Linked DNA regions of Nothobranchius furzeri. The protein of the gene in region 1 purifies or fractionates together with the protein of each later gene. This does not show direct contact. Links are inferred from orthologs where the notes say so. Each region holds a gene or a part of one and is shown on either strand. Other genes may lie near its edges.

Region 1 (4,058 bases):
TGTTGTCGATGTCCTGTTCGGATACTTCTGTTCCCATGGAGATCTCAGCAGCTAGCTTCACCTCAGCCTCGATCTCCTCAGGGAGGATTTCTGACAGATCGGTGCTGGACACGTTTGTACGATCACCTGGGGCGGACAAGACGACCGTCCAATCAGTAAGACACTTCATAGTAAAAAGGTAAATAATTGCCCTTCCTTTATGGGTTTTGATAATTAAAACAAAAGCTGTCGTCTCTTTTTCACATCAGCCCAGGTGTTACTTAAACAACGAACCTTACCGACTTTGAGGACGGTTTTGCAGTAAGCTAGGTTGTCCGTGACGACCTTCCCCAGCTCGGGGAAGTGCCAGCCGTACCACTCTCTGCAGCGCATGATGTAGTTATTAAGCTCCTTGTCCAGGTCGTCCAGGAGGGCTGAGGACAAAAACACCCAAGCTCCGGTTATTGTGGACAAAGACAGCCAGGATCACAGAAAAGGACACCAGGGACACAAACTGGGCTTTCCTCAATTTTTCAAGATGTCTGAACCCACACGGCCCGGCGATGCTGCTACTAGCTTCTTCTGTGGGGTCACTGGAGGTGAGGTTCAGCCTAACCAAGTATCCAGGAACTTCTGATTTAAGCTTTTATCACGTCAGTTTAGTTTCCTCTTATAATATTTATAAGATCAATAACCATTATTATCAAGGGTGCTCTGACATTATGTTAAATCCTGACAAAAGACTAAATTTCTTCATAAATATTTATATATTAATCATCTGACTAACTTAAATCTTTCTATTTAAAATAAATGAACATTCGGCTGAACTGACAGTTTGATATTTCTTAAATTCAGATTTTTTATAGAATGGCTGAAATATTACTAATCCACCTCACAGGGGAGAACATTCAATCAAATCCTAAAAAAAAGAAATTTCTGAAATAAAATAGTTACTTTCTACAGGTTTCTGTAGATTTAGCCCGCTAATGTCTAACCCTAACCAGCTAATGCTGCATTCAGGGGTCATTATCACTAATATTGTATGAAAACAACACGATGCTTCATCAGCGAAACACTCACAAATGGCCTGAACGATCATCGTGTCCACTTTGTCCGGGCTGAACTTCAGCTTGTAGCGGGACAAACTGCAACAGGAGAGGGTGTTAGCTGATAAACAACAGACCAGGCGATAAACAGGAGCACAGGGGCAGCCTCAGTGGTAGTGACGAATGCTGATGGGAACATCTACATGAGGATCTCAGACAGCAATGTGTAATCACAGGCAGCAGCAGCAGCTGTAGTATAACCCCGGGGTGACCCTGACCTGTGAGCCAAGCCCAGAGACATGGCGCTCATCTCTCTGGGAGGAAGTCCAGAGATCAGACTCTCCATCTGGCTCCTGATGCATCTCATCAGCTCGGCTACTGCGGGGCTGTAGACGCAGTTCAGGTCCAGCTTGTCCTAAGAACACAAACTTGATCAGAAAATCTTTAACAGACAGATCTTCTGACGTCTGCAGAAGGATGAAACTCACTTTAATAACTCCACCCAGTTTAGCATCGCTGATGGCTAGCTCCTCATGAGCCTCCTTGGCCACGACTTTCTTCAGGATCTTCTTCAAACTTTTGCTGATTTTTCCCTCAACCAGAGCGGTGGCAGCTTCACAGCAGAGGTCAGAAACAACTGATTAAACCTAGATAAGCACACTTTAATAATCCCTGCTCCTATCCTGGACATCTTCTCTTATCTACTGGCTGAAGGGACAGGGTGGTCTCAGTGGTAGTGACGATTGCTGTGGATAACCTCATGCTTTTATCAGACACTGAAATCCATCACAGACCACCAACATAGACACAACAGAGTGTTTTTACCTGCCAGTGCCTCCGTCGTGTCCTGAAACTTCTCAAAGTGTTTCAGTTTCACACTGATGGAGGAAAAACAGATGTAAGCCCCCAGAGTGAGGTGTTGAGCTGAGGGTACTGAGACGTGTTCATACTCACATTTTGTTGGCTTTTTCAGGAGTCTCAAACTCCTTGTACAGGCTGTCCACCTGCTGCAGCTTTGATTCATTTAGGACCTAAAAACAAATAAACTTGAGCAACCAGACAATAAAAGCGTCTGTATGCTGGAAGCTAGGGAACTTGTGCATGGCAAGTGTTGCACCGAGCCAAACTGTCTTTTATAGACTTGAACGAAAAAAACAGCCACATGGGCAACATTGCTCTTGATACTTTGCTAGCACAAACACACAAACACACTTTAAGTGCATTTAGAAGGAACGACTCTACAATAACCTGACCGGATTAATTATCCTTTTATTGAGCGAGTGTACTACATTCTCTGTTGTGTTTGAGATCAAACTCAGCCAGCTTCCAGGAGCGCACGTGGTCACAGGCCCCTAACAGCATGCTAACTCATGTTAGCATTTGAGTTTAGAAACGAAGACGTGCACGTGAGATAGGAAAGCACACGGTGCCATATTCAAGCCCACACAGACACGTTTAGAGCTCGGTTGTTTTATTTCCCCTAATAACACCAACTTGTTACTTAAGGGCAAATTTATGTGTGACATTAGGATGCTAATCGAGGCTAACTACAGACATACGAGCGAAATATCGTACTTCAATCGGTAAACTGACAGAATGAAACACTCACTTTGAATATCGCATATCCAGCGGCGGTTTCAAATAGAACGAGCATGTTTGAAACTGCTCTGTTTTATTAAAGTGCTCTCTTTTCAGAGAGCTGACAGTTTTCGTCTCGGTCAGTCACCGCGATGGTGAGGCTCGGAAACCGCACGCGGTGCAGAGGAGCTGCTGCAGGGGGAAACTTCCGGGTTGCCAGATCCGTTAATTTGAACCAAAATCACCCAAACGTCAGTATTTCCTTTGTGTTTTAGCTAACTCTAAAAACAATAAATGTATTTTAAAACGCCATACACAGTAACTATAATAAATTTATGCAACTGTGTTGTTTTGTGTGTTCTTGAAAGCTTTTAACAAAGTAAATGTAATTCAATTCCATCTTTTTATTCCACCACCTTTATTTTATGATCGCATAGCAAAATAGTAAAACCACGTATTGTATTTTTTACTTATTATTTTTAAATTATCGTTATGTTCATTTTGTTAAAAAGTAAAAAGTTTATACATTTTAATTAAATGTCACAAACTGGATTTGATTTGGCAACGCCAGAGATGCGCGCAAACAAATCTCGCGAGAGGTTATGAGCACGGTATGTTGCTTTCACAGTAAAACTTAACGCCAAACTAACTGTTTACGCACTTTTAAACGATATTATTATTAATGATTCCATCATTAAAGTGACTGATCAATAAAACAGATAATATAATTAAACAATACGTGATGTTACTTAAAGAACAAAATGTAATAAAAGGAGAATTACAAACAAGTAGAGAATAAAAGAGAACAAACTCCCGTAATATAAGAATGACATTTTATGTAGCTAATTTTAAAGCACATAGGCGACTCCAGATGTGTGAAGATTTGTTTTAAAATATTTTTGTAGGAAATCTAATTTTCAGTTGTAATCCGGATAACTTGTAAATCCCAGTTCTGAGAAATTGAAAAGGAAATTCCGATCATCCAAAACGCAACACACTTTTTTCACGGAAGTGACGAACGCGTGAACTCTGGCAAAACACGAGCGCGTGGACTAATACCTTGAGCTAACTTTTACCGTTTTCTGGCTGGTAACGTTGAGTAAGGCACCGGAGCTGGAGCTATGAACGAACCAGAACGCTACCCTCCACCAGACTTCAGCTGTCCCCCTCCAAGCTCGTTCCACACGCCCCAGGAGCAGCAGCAACCTCGGGCCAGCAGCTTCCACCCCAGCATGTGGAGCTGGGGAGAGACGCCGTCCGAGCCCAGCTGGAGCTACTGGGTCAGTCCGAACTGGAGTCACGGACAGGCGGGAGGGTACCACGGTCAGACCCATCCACACTGTGAGACCTTTGGTGATTATGTTTCTAAAAGAGGACACCTCTCTCAATGTTTGTGTTTGGAATGCTTGATTATGGAAATCAATCAAAACCACAATTATTGTATAGTGAACTCCA
Region 2 (4,181 bases), on another chromosome or scaffold:
GTGGACAAGATTTCTAGGCGCAGCCAAGGTGTGGAGGAGATCTGTTTTGGTGGCCGAAGGATTGAGTCTCCGTTTTTTGCAGATGATGTGGTCCTGTTAGTTTCATCAGAACGTGATGTCCAGCTTTCACTGGAGCAGTCTGCAGCAGAGTTTGAAGCAGCTGGGATAAGAATCAGCTCCTCTATGTCAGCGACCATGGTCTTGAGTCGGAAGAGGGTAGAATGCCTTCTCCGGGTCAGGGATGAGGTCCTCTCTCAAGTACAGGAGTTTAAGTGTCTCTGGGTCTTGTTCACGAGTGAGCATGAGGTCGACATGTGGATTGGTGATGCATCTGCAGTAGGGCTGGGCAATATGGCCTAAAATCAATATCACGATGAGGATTTCACCTCGATAACGATAAACGGACGATAACTACAGGAATGCGCAGAAACAAAAGTTGTCCACTAGATGGGGCTGTCACATGTTTTACATTGAGTCATACTTTTACGAGGTGGTACAGCTTCTTAAAGGGACATGAACGTTGACAACCTACACACATCTTGACATGGGAAAATTATCTCGATAAGTCAGAAAATTTGATAACGATACATTTTCGATTTATTGCCCAGCCCTAGTCTGCAGAGATGCGGACATTGTACCGTCTGCCATGGTGAGAAGAGAGCTGAGCCATAAGGCGAAGCTTTCGATTTACGTTCCTACCCTCACCTATGGTCACCAGCTTTGGGTATTGACCCAAAGAATGAGATTGTGGATACAAGCAGCCAAAATGAGTTTTTTCCACTAGGTGTCTGGGCTCTCCCTTAGAGATAGGGTGAGAAGCTTGGTCATACAGGAGGGGCTCGGAGTAGATCCGCTGCTCCTCCACATTGAGAGAAGCACGTCCAATTGGGAGGAGACTTATGCCCAGAACACACCAGCTGCGAAGAACCGCGGAGTGGATTGCTCACAAAATTTGTGCGCTCTCCGCTCCTCTTCTGGTCACATCAGGCGAGAATTTTCAACGAGCACTTCTGCTCACGCCTACTGTTTTCTAAACATGCCCTTGCTCTGTGTGTGTGTGTGTGTGTAACCAGTTTGCCTTGCTTGTTGATATTGGACACTGTGCTGATTCTGCTGCTGTGCATTTGTTTGTATTCACATTTATTAAATCCATCTTTTGCTGTAAACACTGAATTTTAAATTATGGTAACACTACGTTTTTCTGCAGGTGTGTGTTTGTTCCTTTTCATCTCTCTAGTCTATTTAGATACACAAACATGATCACTTTTATCAATTGCAGTGTTTTATTGTGAATTTTTTTTTTGTTAAATTTACCAGCCTGCCTCTTCTGCTTTAGTTTACTTCCTGCCAGAATTGTTCACTCACGGCTCACGTAAAAATAGAGCTCACGCCAAAATGATCGCTGCACGGAGCGAGCCTTTGTGGCGCTTCCCAGCTGATGTGACTGAGAGCATAGGTTAACAGGGACAAAGCGCCCGTCGTTCAACAGCGCTTCCTTGCTACTGTATTATCTGGGTGCCTCGCCTCTGACAGTGCACCCAGGGCAGCTGCGGCTACATCGTAGCTAATCACCATCAGTGTGTGAATGTGTGTGTTAATGGATGAATTACACACTGTAGAGTAAAGCGCTTTGGAGTCCTTACTCTGAGAGGCGCTACACAAGTGCGGGTCATTTATCATTATCATTTGAACTAGATTAGAACCAATTCCCTTTCAGCCAGACTAACGCGTTATATGCATTTTAAAAAACTACAGAAGTCTTTTTAGGGCAATACTTTGGTTCTCTAGTGTGCATGTTAAGGCACTGTATATGTCATGGCTGACCAGGGGAGACCTTGGGATTCTGCGGGAGGAGCTGGCCCAAGTGGCTGAGGAGAGGGAAGTATAAGCCTCTCGACGTAGACTGCAGCTGCCGTGACACGACCCCGGATAAACTGAAGAAAATAGATGGATTGGTCTTAATGCGCCATTCTAATTTTTGATAATGCAGCTGCCATCAGCCTCCAGTGAGGCAAGTGTACAGCGCTGCAGACACGCACATGTAAAGAAGAGCTTCCTGCTTCCTCTGCCGCAGGATAGGAACATCTGTCACATGTCGATGTAAAATTCAGATTTAAAGTATTACATATGAAAGGGACCCAGGTCTAACTTGATAATTATGACGAATATGTGTTGTGAACGTCATTAAAAGCAGATGTGGGTCATAAAAAGCAGAAGTGGGTCACATCTGAGAAAGAAATTCTGGTTCGACCATTGAGTCAGCAGTGAGAACACGGCCTATGATCCAATAATTACATGTAAAAGCAAAATTTTCACCTTCTACGTTTGTTTCGTTACAAATTCTGTTATAAATGTTGAGTAAAATAGCCGAATAGTTTCCACACCTTCGTTAGCTCCCTTCCTCAGCTGCTTGTAGTTGGAGGCTTGCTGCACCAGGTCCAGGATGGTTTTGGTCAGGGTGGCGTCGGCCAGAGGGTAGGCCTTTGGGTTCACTTGGGGCTCACTCTGGTCACAAAAATGAGAAGGTTCAAAATAAGCTTCAACAGAACAAACCAGCTTTAACAAAAATCACATTATCTTATTTTAAGAAAGCGCACAACCGTGTGTTCTTATTCATGCTACATGCAAGCCCGTCTGTTAGCCTATTAGCTCTTACACTAAGCTCACCATTTTTGTAATCCGGCCCTCTCGGCGAAATGCTTCACGGAGGACTATTTGATTTGTCTTCAGAATATAAATACAATCGAAACGTGAATTATTCTTGTTTCATTCGAGTTTTAATAGCGCCACAAAACGACTATTATCTGCAGCATGCACTAGATCCAAACGTTGACCCCACGTGTGTGATGGTCGTCAGGCTGCACATGCGCACAGGGAATGTAATTTTTTCAAAACAAACTTTATTAACAAACAACATGAACAAACTGAAAAATACTTTCTAAAGTTCAAATAAAGTTATTTTAAAACAGCTTTCGAGTGTGTATCATGGTGTGTATTGCTTTATGACACTGTAAATGTCGAGGGGATATCTTATAAACCTTTAATAAAAAAAACAAAAATATGAAAGAAGGTTTAGACTTTTTATCTTTGAACCCGTTTTCGTTTTAAACCTGAGGCGTTTGTGGGCTTTCATGAAGTCGTTTTTTTTTCTAAATTGTGGACTGTGACTATTAGTTGTGGGAAAATGCTTTATAAAGATGATGATGATGATGATGATGATGATGATGATGATGATGATGATGATGATGATGATGATGGAAAGTTAATTATAGAATTACTAATTATGTAAATGCAAAATATTAATCAGTGTCACGATCTAATCAGATTTAATTTGCCAATTATTTTCCACACACAATCAATTTGATTCATATTTCCCATTTGCTGTTCTCGAACTCTTTGTTTTTTGTGATTTTAGATCTGGAAAAATTGTTGATGCAGTTTATTTGTTGGTCTGAAGAGGGCGCGCGGTTTATGCAAGCTAGAGATGAACGCGCTATGCATTCTGGGTAGGGCACTTTCCATTCAGCCATATTGTATCGTTGTCCTGGCTGAAGGAGACAGGAGAGATGAAGGGGATTCGGGGAATCAGTCAGTTAACGGTGAGAGCTGACTTTATTTGTTCTGAAAGTTTGCGTGACGGGATCAGTGTTCCCATCCCATCCAGTCGCTGTCACTAACTGTCTTTGGGTGGTTTTAAACCATACCTGTCTTGTCTTGGAACAAGCAGCCGGCTAAGCTTGACATGACTGTTTAATCTGAAAACTTGATGTGACCAAGAATAACTATTTTTCTAGACATGTATGTATATGATCATGAATTAATCTCCACTGTGTTAGGCTCTAATGACTGACTCCTCAATTGTTTAAATGTAAGATAATTAACAACTAGCAGCTAGCTAGGCTAGTTAGCATACCAGAGGGTACGTAGTAGCTTTAGCATTTTTCAGAAGGCTTAACTCTAGGTGTGTGTATCTCACTCAAATACATATCTGGATCGGTGAATGAAGACTAAAATTATCAAGTGATTTTCATTTGGAAAGAAACCTTCAATCTTTGTACGACAAAAGCACATTTTAAAACATGCAATTAACAAAAAGGAAATCCCAACTGTTCATTCACTCGGGGACACACAAAACACACACTTATTCAGGGTGGGTTATCTCTCTTTAAAGTTGGTTCAAT

The links.
Region 2: the proteins of nop58 (region 1) and snu13b fractionate together in Homo sapiens (co-fractionation; 3 studies listed by BioGRID and IntAct, with this or other methods). This does not show direct contact. The link is inferred for Nothobranchius furzeri from reciprocal best matches to the Homo sapiens genes NOP58 and SNU13.

Annotation. Positions count from the first base shown.
Region 1 is NC_091742.1:74,286,163-74,290,220, forward strand, and holds the start of nop58 (nucleolar protein 58), read right to left. Parts: upstream 2,805-4,058; 5' UTR 2,680-2,804; coding exon 2,635-2,679; intron 2,057-2,634; coding exon 1,980-2,056; intron 1,904-1,979; coding exon 1,851-1,903; intron 1,639-1,850; coding exon 1,514-1,638; intron 1,441-1,513; coding exon 1,304-1,440; intron 1,125-1,303; coding exon 1,060-1,124; intron 414-1,059; coding exon 279-413; intron 127-278; coding exon 1-126. Other genes in the region: FMR1-interacting protein NUFIP1, read left to right, coding at 3,725-3,956. UniProt on the Homo sapiens protein: Required for the biogenesis of box C/D snoRNAs such as U3, U8 and U14 snoRNAs. Part of the small subunit (SSU) processome, first precursor of the small eukaryotic ribosomal subunit.
Region 2 is NC_091756.1:29,119,078-29,123,258, reverse strand, and holds the start of snu13b (NHP2-like protein 1), read right to left. Parts: upstream 2,849-4,181; 5' UTR 2,671-2,848; coding exon 2,668-2,670; intron 2,506-2,667; coding exon 2,385-2,505; intron 1-2,384. Other genes in the region: uqcrc2b (cytochrome b-c1 complex subunit 2, mitochondrial), read left to right, coding at 3,567-3,599.